4 linked regions of the Macaca fascicularis genome follow. The protein of the gene in region 4 purifies or fractionates together with the protein of the main gene of each other region. This does not show direct contact. Links are inferred from orthologs where the notes say so. Each region holds a gene or a part of one and is shown on either strand. Other genes may lie near its edges.

What was found.
Region 1: the proteins of SLC39A4 (region 4) and ABCB10 purify together in Homo sapiens (affinity purification with mass spectrometry; 3 studies listed by BioGRID and IntAct, counting the BioPlex papers as one, with this or other methods). This does not show direct contact. The link is inferred for Macaca fascicularis from reciprocal best matches to the Homo sapiens genes SLC39A4 and ABCB10.
Region 2: the proteins of SLC39A4 (region 4) and GOLM1 purify together in Homo sapiens (affinity purification with mass spectrometry; 3 studies listed by BioGRID and IntAct, counting the BioPlex papers as one, with this or other methods). This does not show direct contact. The link is inferred for Macaca fascicularis from reciprocal best matches to the Homo sapiens genes SLC39A4 and GOLM1.
Region 3: the proteins of SLC39A4 (region 4) and LEMD2 purify together in Homo sapiens (affinity purification with mass spectrometry; 3 studies listed by BioGRID and IntAct, counting the BioPlex papers as one, with this or other methods). This does not show direct contact. The link is inferred for Macaca fascicularis from reciprocal best matches to the Homo sapiens genes SLC39A4 and LEMD2.

Annotation. Positions count from the first base shown.
Region 1 is NC_088375.1:19,544,480-19,549,456, forward strand, and holds the start of ABCB10 (ATP-binding cassette sub-family B member 10, mitochondrial), read left to right. Parts: upstream 1-1,715; 5' UTR 1,716-1,988; coding exon 1,989-2,505; intron 2,506-4,977.
Region 2 is NC_088389.1:116,600,742-116,605,533, reverse strand, and holds the start of GOLM1 (Golgi membrane protein 1), read left to right. Parts: upstream 1-1,740; 5' UTR 1,741-1,885; intron 1,886-2,310; exon of another isoform or gene 2,311-2,472; intron 2,473-4,792.
Region 3 is NC_088378.1:137,903,790-137,908,712, forward strand, and holds the start of LEMD2 (LEM domain-containing protein 2), read left to right. Parts: upstream 1-1,533; 5' UTR 1,534-1,556; coding exon 1,557-2,310; exon of another isoform or gene 2,311-3,825; intron 3,826-3,922; coding exon 3,923-3,963; intron 3,964-4,923. UniProt on the Homo sapiens protein: Nuclear lamina-associated inner nuclear membrane protein that is involved in nuclear structure organization, maintenance of nuclear envelope (NE) integrity and NE reformation after mitosis.
Region 4 is NC_088382.1:154,107,945-154,110,772, reverse strand, and holds the end of SLC39A4 (zinc transporter ZIP4), read left to right. Parts: intron 1-75; coding exon 76-248; intron 249-418; coding exon 419-556; exon of another isoform or gene 557-632; coding exon 633-764; exon of another isoform or gene 765-883; intron 884-941; coding exon 942-996; intron 997-1,118; coding exon 1,119-1,271; intron 1,272-1,438; coding exon 1,439-1,626; intron 1,627-1,718; coding exon 1,719-1,847; 3' UTR 1,848-1,971; downstream 1,972-2,828. UniProt on the Homo sapiens protein: Selective transporter that mediates the uptake of Zn(2+). Plays an essential role for dietary zinc uptake from small intestine. The Zn(2+) uniporter activity is regulated by zinc availability.

The sequences.
Region 1 (4,977 bases), on a different chromosome or scaffold from region 4:
TGTGAGCCACCGCCCAGCTGCTACCTCCTCTTTTTTTTTTTTTTTTTTTTTTTTGAGACAGTCTTGCTCTGTCTCCCAGGCTGCAGTGCAGTGTGGCACCATCTCAGCTCACTGCAACCTCCACCCCCCAGGTTCAAGCAATTCTCCTGCCTCAGCCTCCTGCGTAGCTGGGATTACAGGCGCACTCCACCACACCTGGCTAATTTTTGTATTTTTAGTAGAGACTGGGTTTCACCACGTTGGTCAGGCTGGTCTTGAACTCCTGACCTCGTGATCCGCCTGCCTTGGCTTCCCAAAATGTTGGGATTATAGGTGTGAGCCACTGTGTCCGGCTGCTACCTCCTTTTTGAGCCCAACTAAAGAAACATCAAGGATTGATACTCTCCAGTTGAAGAGAAAGTGACAACTTTAACCCAAATCTAATCTTCCTCTTACTTTCTCTTTCCCATTTTCCAGCTGCCAAACTAATGGCAGCTGCTGCAGTTTTTGTAAATAGTTTTCAGGGTTGGGATTAGAGCGAGAGAAGAGAGGCAGGATTGTGAAAGGTCAGGAGTGGATACTCAATTAAAATTTTTGATATTTTGTTCATTATGGATTTTTAAAATTAATTTTGAGTTTTAAAAATATTGCACGAAAATATTTATGCTGATTATTGAGGTTTTTTTGTTTTGTGAACCCATAAAATTTGCAATTGACAGTACCCTGTCCAGGTCCAGTAAAAATACCTAGGAGTCTACAAAAATCTACCCACGACTTACTGTGCCCCAGGTATATATCCCCCACCATGAAGTCTCCATAAAGTGTCCCAGTGAGTTTTAATGTTCTCTCCTCTCTTTCCATGCACGTGTATTAAAATGCATTGCCTTCTGATTGGTGTTTTCCACTTCGAACAGCGGAAATGCCTCGACCACGTCTGTTTTCAAATTTCTGCTCTAGTTAAGAAACGATCTCTGGCCCGGAGCGGTGGCTCACGCCTGTAATCCCAGCACTTTGGGAGGCCGAGGCGGGCGGATCACCTGAAGTCAGGAGTTGGAGACGAGCCTGACCAACATGCCGTCTCTACTAAAAATACAACATCAGCCGGGGGTGGTGGCGCATGCCTGTAATCTCAGCCACTTGGGAGGCTGAGGCGGGAGAATCACTTCAACCTGGGAGGCGGAGGTTGCAGTGAGCCGAGATCGCGCCACTGCACTCCAGCCTAAGACACAGAGCAAGACTCCGTCTCAAGAAAAAAAAGAAAAGAAAAGAAAAGAAACGATCTCCTCCCTTCTGAAAGTTATATACATTTCACTATTCGCCAACCACCTCCTCCACGCCGTCCAGAGCTGAGCTGACACGCAGCGAAGTCCTCTCAGTGGTCCCTCCGCACCTCAGCCCTGTGCTTGGCAGCGAGACTGGTGACAGGGCCGCCCCAGCATGGGTCTCCCGGGCCGCGGACCCGCCCCACGCCGTGTCCAGCGCGCTGTCCTCCCGCCCCATCCTTGTGCCGGGCATCGTGTAGTCGCGTCTGCGCGCTCCGCCGGTCTGCCGGCGTGAGAAAGAGCTCGTGCGGCTCCCGAGTTCAGACCAGAGGGGACGGCGAAGCGCGAAAAAAATTCCCTGCGGCCAGTACGCAGGCGCAGCCGTGCTCCTGGGCTTCCCGGGCCTCGTCCCAGTCGGCGCGCCCGGCGCTACTCCGCCAGCGGACAGTTGGGGGCGCTGCAGGGAGGGCACCCGAGCGGGTTGGGGGCGCTTGGAAGGGTGGCTTGCATGGTCCGGGTAGCTGCAGTCCTCGGGGTGGGGCGGAGGGGCGCAGCACCGCGCGGACGAGGATGGGGCGGGGGCGGGCGCAGCCCAGGGATGCAGGCACGATAAGGCGAGTGACAGCCAGCAGGGAGGGGCGGGCGCCACTGCGTCCACGCCCTTTGCTCGGGGCCGGTCCGGGAGGGTCCTCGGCCTCTGCGCGCGCCTGGCCCGCGGGCTGAGGCGTACGGGTCGCACGCAGCGCCATGCGCGGCCCCCCTGCTTGGCCGCTGCGGCTGCTCGCGCCCCCGGGCCCAGCCGAGCCAGGTCGGCTCCTGCCGGTAGCCTGCGTGTGGGCCCCGGCCATCCGCTCCCCTGGATCCCTATCGCCGTTCACTGGCCTGAGGCCCACACGGCTATGGGGCGCGGGGCCGGCGCTGCTCGGGGGCGTTGGAGCCGCGCGCCGCTGGAGGAGCGGCTGCCGGAACGGGGGTCCGGGCTACTCGGGGGGCGGCCTGGGCCTCGCGCGGCTCATGGGGCTGTGGGCTCGGGCCCCTGGCAGCTGCACGTGCGGGGCTTTTGCTGGGCTGGGCGCTCCTCGGCTCCCGCGCGCCGGGTTCCCGGGCGGTCCGGCAGCCGCTGCCTGGGCAGGGGACGAGGCCTGGCGGCGCGGGCAAGCGGCGCCTCCTGGGGACAACGGGCGGCTGCGCCCCCGGTCACCCGAACTCCCGGAAGCCCGGAAGCTCCTGGGGCTGGCGTACCCTGAGCGCCGGAGGCTGGCAGGTAGGGCCCTCCCCGACCACTTCCCTCCTCCGGGCCGCTCCTTCTCCACGCGCGGGATCCCGGGGCGCCGAGAGGGACACGGCCGGGCCGCAGAGCGCCTGTCACCGCCGCCTCTCCTGGGCCACTCCTAACCCCGGAGGAGGGAGGGGATGGCTCTCCTCGGAGTAGCGTTGTCAAGATTTCGCCTTAGCTGGGGACTCGTTGGCAGATTTTACACTTTTTTTCTTGTTGACACACATTGTATATGTCCTTATTGGAATCTTTGGGTCTGTTCCGTCACCAACTTAGTGGGAGCATCTGTTTTGGCTTAGGCAGCAAAATGAGCTGGAGGTTTTTCCTTGGAAAAAAAATAAATTGTAGCCAAAAATATGCCTATTTTGTTATTAGGCATTTATACTTTTTTTTTAACCAAAAAAAAAAAAATTGTTTGCTTTAAGCGAGTCTGTCAAGCAGTCACCAATGCTTTCACAACGGAAAGCAGAACTTTCACACTCGTCTCGTGCTAAGTGGGAAGCAGGAAGTTATAGCACTGTTCATCAGTCCACACCAACCAGTTATCTGTTCAGTAATTGAGTAACTTTTTTTAAAGAAGCCAAAATGAATGCTTTTAGAAACAAAATTTAAATAGTACAGTTTTCTATAGCTCCTCATTTTTTAACCATTAATTGGAGGAGTGTTTAGATGCAAGGGCCTTGTAAGATCTAAACTTTTTGATTTCTCTAAATTTTCATTCCTTCTATAAACATTTGTTGAGCCCTCATTCTGAACTGGGCCCTGGGGTTACAGTGGCATGCACAAGGAAACATGGTTCCCGCTTCTGCCGGGACTTCTGGCTTAGTGGGGAGAAGCATCTCTGAACTATTCATATGTGTAGAGGTCAGCCTGCACCTGTGGGCTGTGGAAAGGGGCCTGTGAGGTTGTCAGGTGCAACACCAGAAAAGCATTCTTTGCTGCAAATCCATTGCTTTAGAAAGGACCCTCCTGAGTAGTGATTTGGGATTTAGAGTAGGTTTGCACAGTGGAAGAGAGCAGTTAGGGTGGCGACTTTTCATCTGCCAGTTACTATGAAAGCTTAGGGGGACTCTTGGTATCGCTCGGGTATAAAGAGAATTATTTCATTGTTCAGTTGGTTGAGTGTAGATTTTGATGTAAAAATCTTTCTTTTTCTCTCTTTAAAAACATTGGAGACTAGGAGCTCTCACTGGACTTTGAGCTGCTTGAGACAGGGACTGTCTGATTCATCTTTCTGCCTCCAGTTCTTAGCATGTGCACAGCACAGAGCAAGCACTCAGAGTGCCTTCAGTGAAGGAATAAATGACCATACCACCAGGCACAGAGTGAGGCCTTTAGAAACCCTAAGCATCATAGGGTGCACCCACCACTTCTGTATGTGACTCAAAGTAAGTGTAAGGGAATCCAGTTCTGTTTTGTTTGTGAAATACTAGATGTCAGGAATGGTGTTTAGATGTCAGGCTTTGGTGGTGCCTACACGTGCCCAGTCCTGCTTATCCTATGACCATTGCTCCTGTGAGCCCCTACTCTGTCCCCCGATATCCTGCCATACTAGTATGTTTTGGTGACAGCCTTAAACAAGGCAAGACTGTGCCTCCTTTTTTCTTTCTTCCTTTTGTTTTTCTGGGATAGGGGTCTCACTGTGTTGCTGAGACTTGTGTCGAACTCCTCAGCTCAAGCAGCCCTGCCTCTACCTCCTGAGTAGTTGGGACTACAGGCATGTGCCACTACACCCGGCTTGTACCTTTTTTTTTTTTTTTTTTTGAGCTGGAGTTTTGCTCTTGTTGCCCAGGCTGGAGTGCCATGGCATGATCTCGTCTGACCGCAACCTCCGCCTCCCAGGTTCAAGCAATTCTCCTGCCTCAGCCTCCCAAGTAGCTGGGATTACAGGCATATGCCACCATACCCGGCTAATTTTGTATGTTTAGAGACAGAGTTTCTCCGTGTTGGTCAGGGTGGTCTCAAACTCCCGACCTCAGGTGATCTGCCCACCTTGGCCTCCCAAAGGTGCTGGGATTACAGGTGTGAGCCACCACACCCAGCCTTCTTTCTATTTTAAGAACAGGATATATTTTGTTCCACCACATTGAGAAATTATGAATGTATAATTTGAAAAAAACAAGCCTAGGGTTGCCACACTAATTTTTTTTTTTTTTTTTTTTTTTTTTTGAGTGTTTTTGAGACGGAGTCTCACTCTGTTGCCCAGGCTGGAGTGCAGTGGTCAGATCTCAGCTCACTGCAAGCTCCGCCTCCCGGGTTTACGCCATTCTCCTGCCTCAGCCTCCCGAGTAGCTGGGACTACAGGCACCTGCCACCTCGCCCGGTTAATTTTTTGTATTTTTTAGTAGAGACAGGGTTTCACTGTGTTAGCCAGGATGCTCTCGATCTCCTGACCTCGTGATCCGCCCGTCTCGGCCTCCCAAAGTGCTGGGATTACAGGCTTGAACCACCGCGCCCGGC
Region 2 (4,792 bases), on a different chromosome or scaffold from region 4:
TGGGAGACAGAGTGAAACCCTGTCTCTAAATAAATAAATAAATAAATGCCTTTAGGTCTATTGGGATGGAATAAATGTATTTTGTATGTGAGAAGGATATGAACTGGGGGTGGGAGGGCATAGAAGCAGAATGCTATGGTTTGAATGTGTGCTCCACAAAGCATGTGTTGAAAACTGAATCTCAAGTGCAACAGTGTTGGGAGGTGGGGCCCAAAAGGAGGTGTTTAGGTCATAAAGGCTCCACTCTTATAAATAAATTAATGCCAATTATAGAGGGCTTGAGGCTGCAAGTTCAATTTCACATGCACTCTCTTGCCCTTCTGCCTTCCACCCTAGGATGATGCAGCAAGAAGGCCCTTACAAGATGTCAGCACCTTGATATTAGACTCCCCAGCCTTCAGAACTATGAGAAATAAATTTCTTTTCTTTATAAATTACTCAGTCTGTGGAATTGTGTTATATCAACACAAAATGGACTAAGACATTAAGGAAAGGATGCTTAACAGGCAAACATGGATGCTTCCTTCAACCAACCACTGTAGCCCCTTGCACATTGTTTAATCAAAACCCATCCAGTTGAAGTTTTAGGGCCGGCAACTGATTAGGTTATTTATAAGGAATGTAAATTATGTATATAGACCTATATAAAACTGCATCTTAAAATTTTCAACTTTTGTCATAAAGAATCTAACGAAAAGGACTAATTCACCTTCAATTAAAATGCAGCTCATTCAGCTAGCTGCCTTAGCACCTAGACATATGGACCTGCTCCATAAAGTGTTTAAGAATCACTGAGTGAGTCACTGACTAATTAGTTGCTGATAAATGAGAGACTAAGGGAGACCCTCCTTAGAGGCAAATGATATAGAAGTTACGGTCCACCAGTCTAAGAATGCAAACTATACTAGGAGAGCTAAAATGGGCAAGAAAGGGAATTTCCTGTACCTGTCCCCAATTATGGTTATTTAAGCTCACTAGAAGATCAGAGCAAAGCGATGCAAGTCTGCAAAACCAGGGCTGACATCCGACATAGCTTCAGCTTCTGAATGCTTTGGTCTGACCCTGCAGATATAACAGCTGCAGATAACAAAAATATCATTTTGGAATATAGTAGAACATTCCTCTAAAGGGGTCACCTATTGTCAGTTTCTAATTCAGCTAAGAGGTTTTGGCTCATAAAGATGTTTCCTGCAGTTAAGAAGCTCCATGCTCAGGTGGCAGTAGGGTATCTTGATCACCTTTTTCAAGGTGACTCTTTTTCTGGTTAAAATCAATTTCAGCTGTGGGCATTCCTTTAGGTGTTCATGTATTTGTTTTTTTTATTGTCGGGATTTGGGAGAGGCGCAGAGGAAGGAGCTTCCTTTCCCAGACACCAGAGCTAAGAAGACATGAAGAGACATGACTCTAGGAAAACCGTTCTCAATCTTGGCCGTATACTGTATTAGGATTATCTGGGAAGCTCAAAACAAACAAAAAATATCAAGTTCAGTTTGAACTCTGGAAGTGGGACCCTGGTATCTAAATGCTCTAAAAGCTCCCCCAAATAATTCTAATGGATGGCAGGTGCTGCTAGAGTTAAGAACCATTGCTTTAGAATTTTCTAGCACGGTTTCCTTGTAGGTCATTAGTTTTGTGGCATTCTCTCCAGGAGGTACGGCCTCACAGGGCTTCTCAAACATCAGTGCGCCTGAGCGTCACCTGAGGCGCTGTTTTAAATGCAGCTGCCCAGGCTAGGAGATCACACCCGAAGGCGTCCGGGAATCTTCACTTTTTCGGTTGCTAGTAGTGGAAGGGTCACAGACCAAACGCTAAGGCCTGAGCGGTGACAACCGAAGCGAGATGATGGTCAACAGGGAATACCTAGTGGGAGAAAAAAGACAATTTTGTGAGTATAAACCCCCTAAAAACCTGTTTTTCGTTCGCTTCCTTCTCTGGGCAGTTTTCACCCAGACGACTTTATAAAGAAGGTAACGTGAGTGTGGCGCTGGGTGTGGTTGGCTGTTCGGGAACATTCCCTTGGGGTGGAACGTGGGATGGGGTTCCCCCCAGGTACCCTTTCCCCACCGCCGCTTCCCCGCTCCGCGCCGCTGCTCAGGAGCCGTCTCCCGCGTCGGAAGGGGCGCTGGGGTGGTCCAGGGGAGGGGCGCACGCTGGCGTTCCTGCTCCTGCCGAGTGGGGGCCGCTGGCCGGGGCGCGCGCACCGTGGAGGCGGGAGTCCGCGCGGCCCCGGCAGCCCCGGCCTCGCCTCTCCGCGCTCGCGGCGCCGCCTCCTCCCTTCGAGCCGCCGGCGCTGCCCGGGGGCGGGGCCTCGCAGCTGCGGAGGCCGGGGACGCGGCGGCGCTGGACGCTGAGGCGCGGGGCGCACCGCGCGGAGCCGGCCGGAGCGCGAGGCCGGCAGCGGCGGGAGAGCGGCCCGGGTGGCCTCGTAGCGGAGCCCCGCATCGCCGAGTGGCGGCCGGAGCCGCGGAAAAGGTGAGTGGGCGGCGCGCAGCCCCAGGCCTCCCGAACCGGGGTCCCTCGCTTCCTCCCTCCTTTGCCCCGGCCCCGTGCCCCGCGCCCCGAGACCTCGCGTTGGTCCCCGGACCCTCGCTGCCGCTTGCGCCGGGGCTCCAGCCTTCGCTGGCTGCTCTCGGGGCTGGCGCCGCACCTTCCTGCACCGAGCAGCCCGTGGCCGCCCGGGCCCCTCGGCTCGCTCCCCAAGGCCGGGCGCGCGGCCCCCTGGCCCTGCGATGAGGGGCCTCGCGAGGATTCCCTGCCCTGCAGTCTCAGGCGATGCGGGGCCTTTCTTTTTGTTCTGAGCTTTGTCACGCGCGTCGGCATCCAAAGTCAAAAGCGTGCACCCCCAAAGTCGTACTAGTTCCAGTTCTGCGGCGTGATTTGCACGAGGCGCGGAGAGCTGGCCGAGCCGCGAGCCTCTCGGCTCCCGCCTCCTCTTCCTCCCCTCCAACCCCAGGCGCGCTTCGGCCGCCCTGGGGTCCATGTTGTCGCGGGGCCTCCTGGCTAGTGACCCCGGAGCTTGGCGCCGGGTCTTCCCGCCGCGCGGCCGGAGCGCGGCTGCAGCCGGTTCTCGCGGATGCTCGAGGTTTTCCCGCATACCTGTGTTTCCACCTTTGCCAGCGTGGAGGATCCACACAACTTTGCCGTGCTTTAAAGATCATATCCTGTTCAATATTTTTAATGACTTGCTTTTAAGAAGCAAAATGTGAATAACAATTTTGATGAATTTTTTAAGCAAAATTTAAGAATTATTATATTTGAAATATCGTGATGATGCTGGACAATTTCAGATGTCCCATAGCCAGATGTGCAAAACTAAACTTGTGTGACTTTCACGGTTTTGAGGTTTCCTTTGTCTGATTTGGGGTCCCTAGGCCCTACCTTATGCAAATTATTGAACATTTCTAGGACTGGATTAGTGAGATATGCAGTAACCTGATGAAGTGTTTAGCGGCGCTTGAGTGGCTTTGTTTAGCTCATGGCCATCAGGTTGGCTCAAATCTCAGTTTTAGTATTTCTGAATTTTGGTGGGCATGGGACAATCTCTTGTTAGTTTTTGTGGGTCTCCAAAGGCATCCTAGCTTCTTCCAGTTGTGCTATAAAAGATGAAGCTACGCTCATGCTATTGGAAAGAATACTTTTACTTTCTTTATAAATAGAAACTAGTAACTCGCTAAGACTTACTGTTTTTAGGCCACTCAATTCTTAAGGTGTCAGTGAACAAAAAGAAATTGAATTATTAGGATGTTTAAAGGAAAGAGGTTAGCTTTTAAGATATATTTTGTTCTCCTATGGAGAGGTTATCCAATTTTCACATTTTTTTTTTAAGTTGGTTTTACAGGAAAATGAAAGAAATGAGAGGAAAGGAGTGCTGAGGGTGGGGCCAGGAAATTGTGGTGACTTGGATATTAGGGGCCAAGGATACCATCTGCTTCCTAATTGCTGGTTTAGGTTCAGTTATTGATGGGAAATGAAAAGATTTTGCATTTACATTCCACCCGCTGCTGCTGTTGTTGAGGCCTGGGCAGAAACAACAGTTAGGACAGCAGACCATAGCAGGCCTGGGGCTACCTGGGTTTGTATATATGGCCACCCTCCCCAGAAGGAGGGAACTGCTACCCTTCTCCTGTGAAAGTGCTAGCTGGCTTTCTGCGTTGGAAGTACAGAGGGCAGAACCTGGGGAAAATGCATCTGTGTGAGCAGTAGGAAGGGTGGAGCATCACTTTAGGCAGGTGTGCTGAGAGGAGACAGATGTCAGTTGATGGGTACTGTTGCTGCAAGGGAACTTGAAGGCAGCGTGGTCCCTGAGGTCCAGCCCCATTTCTCAAAGGACCTGGGGTGGCCACTGGGGGCGGGAGAGCGGTGTTCCCTGCCTCTGGTTTAAATTCTGCAGCATTATTATTACTTGTTTTTTCTTAAAAGAAAAAAAAAATAAGTTGCCCAGTGAAAAAAGATACATTTCTTTTTCAATGGTCTAATGTGAGAAACAACATTCGTAATTGGGATTTTTTAAAAGCACTTCTGTTTTTGTAAAACAATTTTTAAAACATTTGTAAAAAAGTAGAAGGAACAGAAGGAATGGTCCTACTATGCTTTTGCTCTCACCTTAGAAAAGGGCGAATGATACTTCACTTCCTCCCCAAAAACTGTTCTTAAAGATCGTGGTGTTTTTCTGGACTTTTCAAGTTGTTGATGAAGAGATGTTAAAAGAGAGACTTGTCTCCAAACTTATGAAGTGTTTCTTAAATCTCGAGAGAGTCATTCCTTTCTTTCACACAGGTATTTCTCACACTTT
Region 3 (4,923 bases), on a different chromosome or scaffold from region 4:
TATGTGGTATATGTGTTAGGCAATCACTATATCAAATTCACGGCATTCTGTGCAAACACAGACAGAGAAAAGGAAAACAACACTTGGTGAGAGAAATCACACCACATGGGAGCAGCTAAGTCAGGGGAGATGGGGAGGCCAACAGTGGAAGCTGACCAAGCTGAGGCTGTAATTTTCCCAGCAATTGTGGCCAGGGTTGAATACCCCCGAGGTGGAGCAAGTGGCAGGAATGCAAAACCCAGACAGAGGAGCATAGCATTGCCCAGCGTGTCAGGGAGGGGAGGGAATAAAGTGAGGAGTGGGTAAGGGGTCTGTTGGGACAGATATGGGGATTCCAGGGAGAAGGGGCCTGGGGGAAGGGGAGAATGGAATAGCAGGGGTAGAAATAGATGGAACCTATTGGGCCAGCAATAAATGTTTGGGAATGGGAGTTGAGGGATGTGGAAGGAAGATTATAAACTGGCTCTATTTTCAGTTGCCACATTCCCTTGCTTCCCTTAGGAGTTTCCTGCTAAGAGCCTTCATGTAACCAAATCACCTGCCCTGTGGGAGACTCTACACAGCACTGACACTGCAAAGATGTGGGTTAAGTATAAACACGCATGAGCGTGTGCCCCGCACTGTCCCAAGCACCTTAGCCAAACTACCTCTTCTAATCCTCACAGCAACTCTATTGAGGTTTACTGGCAAACAAGCTAAAAATGTTAATTGAATATGATCACACATCTAATAGTTGTGAGTAGGGATTTGAAACTGAACTGAATGGCTCCAAAGCCCACATCCTAAACCACCAGTGAGGCTACAGGACCGTGTATCTCTGGAGTCTTCTCCCACCCATGTCTCCTTGTAAAAATCCCATTACACAGACACAGGCCCTCCGCAGAGAAGCCTCAACTGCCCACTCGAGCCCAAGGGCATTTTGCTCCTCTGCCTCCACTATGGAAACTGCGTCCCCTCCAGGCTGGCGCTCCTTGGGGGCCAGTGTCTGTCCTAAGGCTGGGATCACACCTACTTGGTGCTCAGTGTCGCCCAGTTAACAAGCCCGAAGTCGGGACAGGGTCTTGGAGCATGCCTGGCGTGTACTATATGGCCCAAATAAAACCAGATCACACATCAGTCCCCAAGCCCAGATAGGCAAATGATCCTGTCTCTCCATTCGGGGCAGTGGCTTCGTTCACCATTAACCAATTCATCCATTAAATCAACACTGACTTTACTGAATGCTTACCACGTGCCAGAGGCAAAGCTAGGGTTGGAGGACTCAAAAGATTAATACTGTTTGATCTAACAAACAAAGGGAAGTGGGAGAGCGGAGAGAGAGGGAAAAACAAAACAAAAAATTTAATCCCCCTTGGACCTTCCCACCATGGCGGCTCTAAGAGCCACGTCAGACCTCCTCATCATGGCCGACCCATAGGCCGAGCGCAAACCTTCCCAACATGGCGACCGACCTTCCCATCATGGCGCGGGGCCCCGCCCGCTCCGCCGCGCCTGCGGGAGGGAGCAGTTCCGGGTGTGGTGCGCGCCGGGGGCGGGCGGGGGGCGGCGTCCTGGCCATGGCCGGCCTGTCGGACCTGGAACTGCGGCGGGAGCTGCAGGCCCTGGGCTTCCAGCCAGGACCCATCACCGACACCACCCGGGATGTCTACCGCAACAAGCTGCGCCGCCTGCGGGGCGAGGCCCGGCTGCGCGACGAGGAGCGGCTGCGGGAGGAGGCCCGGCCGCGGGAGGAGGCCCAGCCGCGGGGCGAGGAGCGGTTACGGGAAGAGGCCCGGCTACGCGAGGATGCGCCGCTGCGCGCCCGGCCCGCCGCGGGCTCTCCGCGGGCGGAGCCCTGGCTCTCCCAGCCGGCCTCGGGCTCGGCCTACGCGACCCCTGGGGCCTACGGCGATATCCGACCCTCCGCGGCTTCCTGGGTAGGGAGCCGCGGCCTCGCCTATCCTGCCCGCCCGGCGCAGCTAAGGCGCCGCGCCTCGGTCCGGGGCAGCTCCGAGGAGGACGAGGACGCCCGGACGCCCGACAGGGCCACGCAGGGCCCGGGTCTCGCGGCCCGCCGCTGGTGGGCAGCGTCTCCCGCCCCGGCGCGGCTGCCTTCCGCCCTCCTCGGCCCCGACCCGCGCCCGGGCCTGCGGGCGACTCGAGCGGGCCCTGCTGGCGCGGCGCGGGCCCGGCCCGAGGTGGGGCGCCGGCTGGAGCGCTGGCTGTCTCGGCTCCTGCTCTGGGCCAGCCTGGGGCTACTGCTCGTCTTCCTGGGCATCCTCTGGGTGAAGATGGGCAAGCCCTCAGCGCCGCAGGAGGCGGAGGACAACAGTACGTCCTGGGCCGGCGCAGGGGAGGGCCCTGGGGGCGCGTGTGTCTGCCGGACGACCACCCGTTCCTGTCGGCGCCAGGCCGTGCACTTCCAGCCTTGTCGGCAGCCTCTGACTGTCTTCTCATTTCCAGGCCTGCCTTCTTCCAGCTGTTGGAAGAGAGGGCCAAGGCTCCTGCATCTGCAATAATTTCTGCCTTCACTTTCTCCTGTTCTCCTTTTCTGCCCCAGCCCTCCCTTCTAAAGTCGCCCTTTGAATCACAAGCTGTAGTCACTGCTCCCCCAACCTCTGGTTTTCTCCCTGGAGAGGAAGCCACACCCTTCTCTAACAGATTCACCCCATCCCTTTGGGTTCTTCCCGTTTGACCTCTGGCTTACTCACACACTTTGTGCCTGTTTGAAGGCACTCCAGATTTCACTGACCCACAGATAGGATCTGGTTGGGGGTCCCAGCTTTGCAGCACCAAAAAGTCCACTCTCCACTTCTTTGAACCACAGGGCCGCCGCTTTGTCAACAGGAGAATCTACCAGCCTTGCTTGCCAGACAGGTTAAACTGATAGCAACGGGAGGCATTTACGATTGCTTGTAGCACCCTCATGGAGTGTGTTGAGAGACTGTGACTCAAGGATGCTCACAGCCATCCTTCTGGCCACACTTAAGTTACATGGTTAGATATGCCAATGAGAGGTCTTCAGGGTACAGTATGTATCCGGAATAGCTGAGGATTGTGTGTTTCCTGAAAAGAAACAAAGATCATTTCACTATACATTTAGGTATAAAGGGCCACTGTAGTTCACCAACTTTTAATACTCTTTACAAAGCACAAATGTGAGTAATACTGTTCCCAGCTTCCAGCCAAGGCCACATCCTTCCATGCCTAGCAGGAACTTCCAACATACAGGAAAAAGCTAAAGTATGTCTTAGCTGGTGTGGCAGATGGATGTTTGGGAGTGTACAAGTCTGTGGGCAAGGGTATCAACAGACTTGTGTGCAGACACCCAAATGATTTCCCCACTATGAGAGCAGTTTATCAACTATGTGAATAGTTTGTCGACCTGCTAGAGAAATTAAGCAGACCTGGGAGTGTCATGGTACTATAACTACACTGGTGATGTCAAACAGTATCACACTGGTACTCACTGCTGAGATGTTTTAAGACAACAGTGCTAGAATATATGCTGGTATCTACCCGGACTTCCCCTCCCATTATGGTGTTAATCTCTGTTTAACGTATCATTGTTTTCAGTTTACAAAACTGTCCTGTATTTTGTTTTGTTTGGGCCTAACTTCCTGAGTTAAGCAGGGAAGGCCCATTTGATCCCATTTTACAGATGAGGAAACAGAGATTCAGAGTGGTTGAGTTGCCCAAGAACCTTGAGCTAATCATTTTCAGCTGGGACAAGGACCCAGCTATCTTAATTCCTAATCCAGGATTTGGATACCCTTACATTTTGCTGTCTGCATTTTAAAAGTGCCTTCCTTAGATGACATCTTTCTAATCACCACCCTTGGCTTGGTAATGCTTTACTCCCCCCGAATGTTGTGAATAGTCTCTTTGTATTCCTTTCTCAACCCACACTTAATTTCCTCTGTGTTTCTTTTCTTGGTCTCAGTGAAGTTATTGCCAGTGGACTGTGAGAGAAAAACAGATGAGGTGAGTTTGAGTTTCTCTGGCTTTTATTATTCCTCCTGAGGATATTAGCCTCCATCAGGAGGTAAACTTCCCCAGAACAAGAATAGGATCATTTTCAAGGAGTGCTTCCTGTAATGTACCAGAGTCACATTGTGTTCTGTGATGTTTGTGTCAGGCTCAATTGTGGCAGTGAAGGAATACTTGAAATAGAATTGACCTCCCAAAATCCAACCCTGGGCTTGTTATGGACGCTTTCCCATCAATGTAGTATTTTCTTCTGCCTGAGTCAATCTAGGGGGATGCAGTAGGTTGTTGAAGGACCCCTCAAGCTCCCTGGCACGGGGAGGAAGGGCTGGCATTTCTAAGCATCAGGAGGCCAAGTTCTCAATTCCACATTCTCTCTCTCTGGTGATGCAGCTGTGGCTCTGAAAATGCTGTTCTGATTTGAAACATAGGGAGTTTGTTTGGAACACATCTTAAGTAGAATTAGCCCTCTTAGTCCACATTTAGATTTGCTTTATGAAGCTCTAATATTTCCTACAAATAATATTTGGGGATGAGCAGCCCCATCCATTTATGAATCATGAAGGCAGCATTATCAAGGAGCTGGGATGCTGGTTCTGGTGACAGTCTGGAGAAGATAGGGGGCAGTAAATTTTCAGGTCATAAATTGTACCAGTCTTGTGCTGCCAGAGGGCATGACTTAGTAGTCTAATTATTAAGTGTGCAATGCCTGGCCTCCCGAGCCCTTAGTTAACATCTCTGGTAGCCCAGGGGCTGGGAAAGAAAATGACGCATGGTCCTCTGGCCACCCCTGCATTGACTGTCTTACCCATGTAAATGGGGGGACATCCTGGTGCAGATAACCACTTTTATTTCTCTTTGGCTTCTGGTGTGTCATAGTTTGGGGTGTTTTATTACATCCATTTATTGCATTCATCCACCAAATATCTTTGCTTCCCAATTGTTTTGTAAAAGCAG
Region 4 (2,828 bases):
TCTGGTGAGTGACGCCCGGGAAGCAGGGGCTGAGTCTGGAAGAAAAACTCTCACAGCCACCTCACCCGCCCCCAGGGTATCTGTACGGCTCCCTGGCCACGCTGCTCATCTGCCTCTGCGCGGTTTTTGGCCTCGTACTGCTGACCTGCACTGGCTGCAGGGGGGTCACCCACTACATCCTGCAGACCTGCCTGAGCCTGGCGGTGGGTGCACTCACTGGGGATGCTGTCCTGCACCTGATGCCCAAGGTCTGCCCCCACAACCCCCCGATCCTGGCCTTCCCTTCCCCACCATGGACTCCCAGGCCATGCCCTCCCAGGGCCCTTACCCACACCACCCCCTGACCCCTGACCCCTCTCCCTGGGTCTTGGAGGGAGGCGCCCTGTGACCCCCCCAGCCCAGCGCCCCTACTCCCCAGGTGCTGGGGCTGCACACACACAGCGAAGAGGGCCTCAGCCCACAGCCCACCTGGCGCCTCCTGGCTATGTTGGCCGGGCTCTACGCCTTCTTCCTGTTTGAGAACCTCTTCAACCTCCTGCTGCCCAGGGACCCGGAGGTCAGGCTTCATGGGAAGGTACCCGGCGGGTGGGTGTGCTGGGGGCCTGGTGGACACTGAGCAGCTACCCTCACAGGATCTGGAGGACGGGCCCTGCGGCCACAGCAGCCACAGCCACGGCGGCCACAGCCACGGTGTGTCCCTGCAGCTGGCACCCAGCGAACTCCGGCAGCCCAAGCCGCCCCACGAGGGCTCCCGCGCGGACCTGGTGAGTGGACGCCCGATGCCCCACCCCACGCGGAGCCCCTCCCACAGACCCCTTCCCAAGCCCACACTCCTAGCCCCACCCCAGGCCTGCGGCCCCGCCTCCCGCGGTGATCTGGGGCCCCGCCCCGCCGCGTTCCTCCTCTATCTCTGGGCGGGACTTACTCAAGGCTCCTCCCAGGTGGCGGAGGAGAGCCCGGAGCTGCTGAACCCGGAGCCCAGGAGACTGAGCCGAGGTGAGCCCAGGGGGCGACCCCGGAAGGGCTGGGGAATCTGAGGTTTGTGTGGAGCGCGAGCGGGGCCCGGGGCTTGGCGGTCGGGGACAGGCCACGCGAACCCACGGCCGCTGCATCCGCAGAGTTGAGGTTACTGCCTTATGTGATCACGCTGGGCGACGCCGTGCACAACTTCGCCGATGGGCTGGCCGTGGGCGCCGCCTTCGCGTCCTCCTGGAAGACCGGGCTGGCCACCTCGCTGGCGGTGTTCTGCCACGAGTTGCCGCACGAGCTGGGTGAGCGGCGGGCGGGGCCTGGAAGGAGACGGCCGGGGCCGCACGGGGCTGGGCGGGGAGACCGGGAACAGGTGGGCGGGGCCTGGTGGTAAGAGCGCGCGACCGAAAGGAGGTGGGCGGGGCATGTAAATAGGAGGGCGGAGCTGTTGACGTGGACCCGCCCGCAGGGGACTTCGCGGCCTTGCTGCAGGCGGGGCTTTCCGTGCGCCAAGCGCTGGTGCTGAACCTGGCCTCTGCGCTCACGGCCTTCGCGGGTCTCTACGTGGCACTCGCGGTTGGAGTCGGCGAGGAGAGCGAGGTCTGGATCCTGGCAGTGGCCACCGGCCTGTTCCTCTACGTGGCACTCTGCGACATGGTCAGGATGGTGAGGGGAGGGGCTGCTCTGGGCCGGGAACTGAGCAGCGGAGCTGAGCAGGGGCGCTGACCTGGTACCCACTTGCTCCTCAGCTCCCGGCCATCTTGAAAGTACGGGACCCACGGCCCTGGCTCCTCTTTCTGCTGCACAACGTGGGCCTGCTGGGCGGCTGGACCGTCCTGCTGCTGCTGTCCTTGTACGAGGATGATATCACCCTCTGATACCCTGCCCTAGTCTCCCACCTTTGACCCAAGATCCCACACCCCACAAACCTACAGCCCAGAAACCAGAAGCCCCTATAGAGGCCCCAGTCCTAACTCCAATAAAGACACTCTTGTCCTTGCAGCATGGCTGTGCTCTCCTTGTTGGGTGGGAAAGGTCCTCAGCTGAGAAAGGACAATTGCGGCACTGCCTTCTCCCCATCGGGGTGCCTCGAAGAGAAGCAGGAAGAGCTGCACTCAGGGCCCCCCAGGCAGCCAGCCTCAGGCACCCCCTCTTTGATGTGGAGACCCTGCCTGCCTGAGGAGTGGGGTCAGGGAAATTCGCCGGGGTGTGTGGGCAGCAGGTGGGACCCTGTCCCCAAACAGTAATCAAACTTGCTTACCCATAACTGCTTACACAGCTGAAGGCATATTTTTCTGTCATGGAAAGCAAGCCTGGAGATAATCAGACCAGAGTGTGGCAGCCCATGGTTCCTGGGACCCCAGCCTCTTCTGACTCTGAGGCGTTAATCCTGAGTCCCTATGTAGTGGCCTCCTAGGGCTCCCATAACACAGCCTACCACAAACTGAGTGCCTTCAAACCAGAAACTTATTTTCACAGTTCTGGAGGCTAAAAGTTAGGAATCAAAGCATCAGGAGACTAATGCTCCCTCTGAAGTCTCCAGGAAGCAGTCTGTTCCCCAAGCCTTTCCTGGCTACTGGTGGCCCCAGGTGTTCCTTGGTTTGTGGGCAGTATGACTCCAATCTCTGCCTCTGTCTTTGTGGGGAAAAGAAAGAGATCAGCCTGTTACTGTGTCTATATAGAAAGAAGTAGACATAAGAGACTCCATTTTGTTCTGTATTTGTGATGCTGTTAATCTGTGACCCTACCCCCAACCTTGTCCTTTGCAAGAGACATGTGGTGCGGTGACTCAAGGTTTAATGGATTTTGGGCTGTGCAGGATGTGTCTTTGTTAAACAAATGCCTGAAGGTAGCTTGCT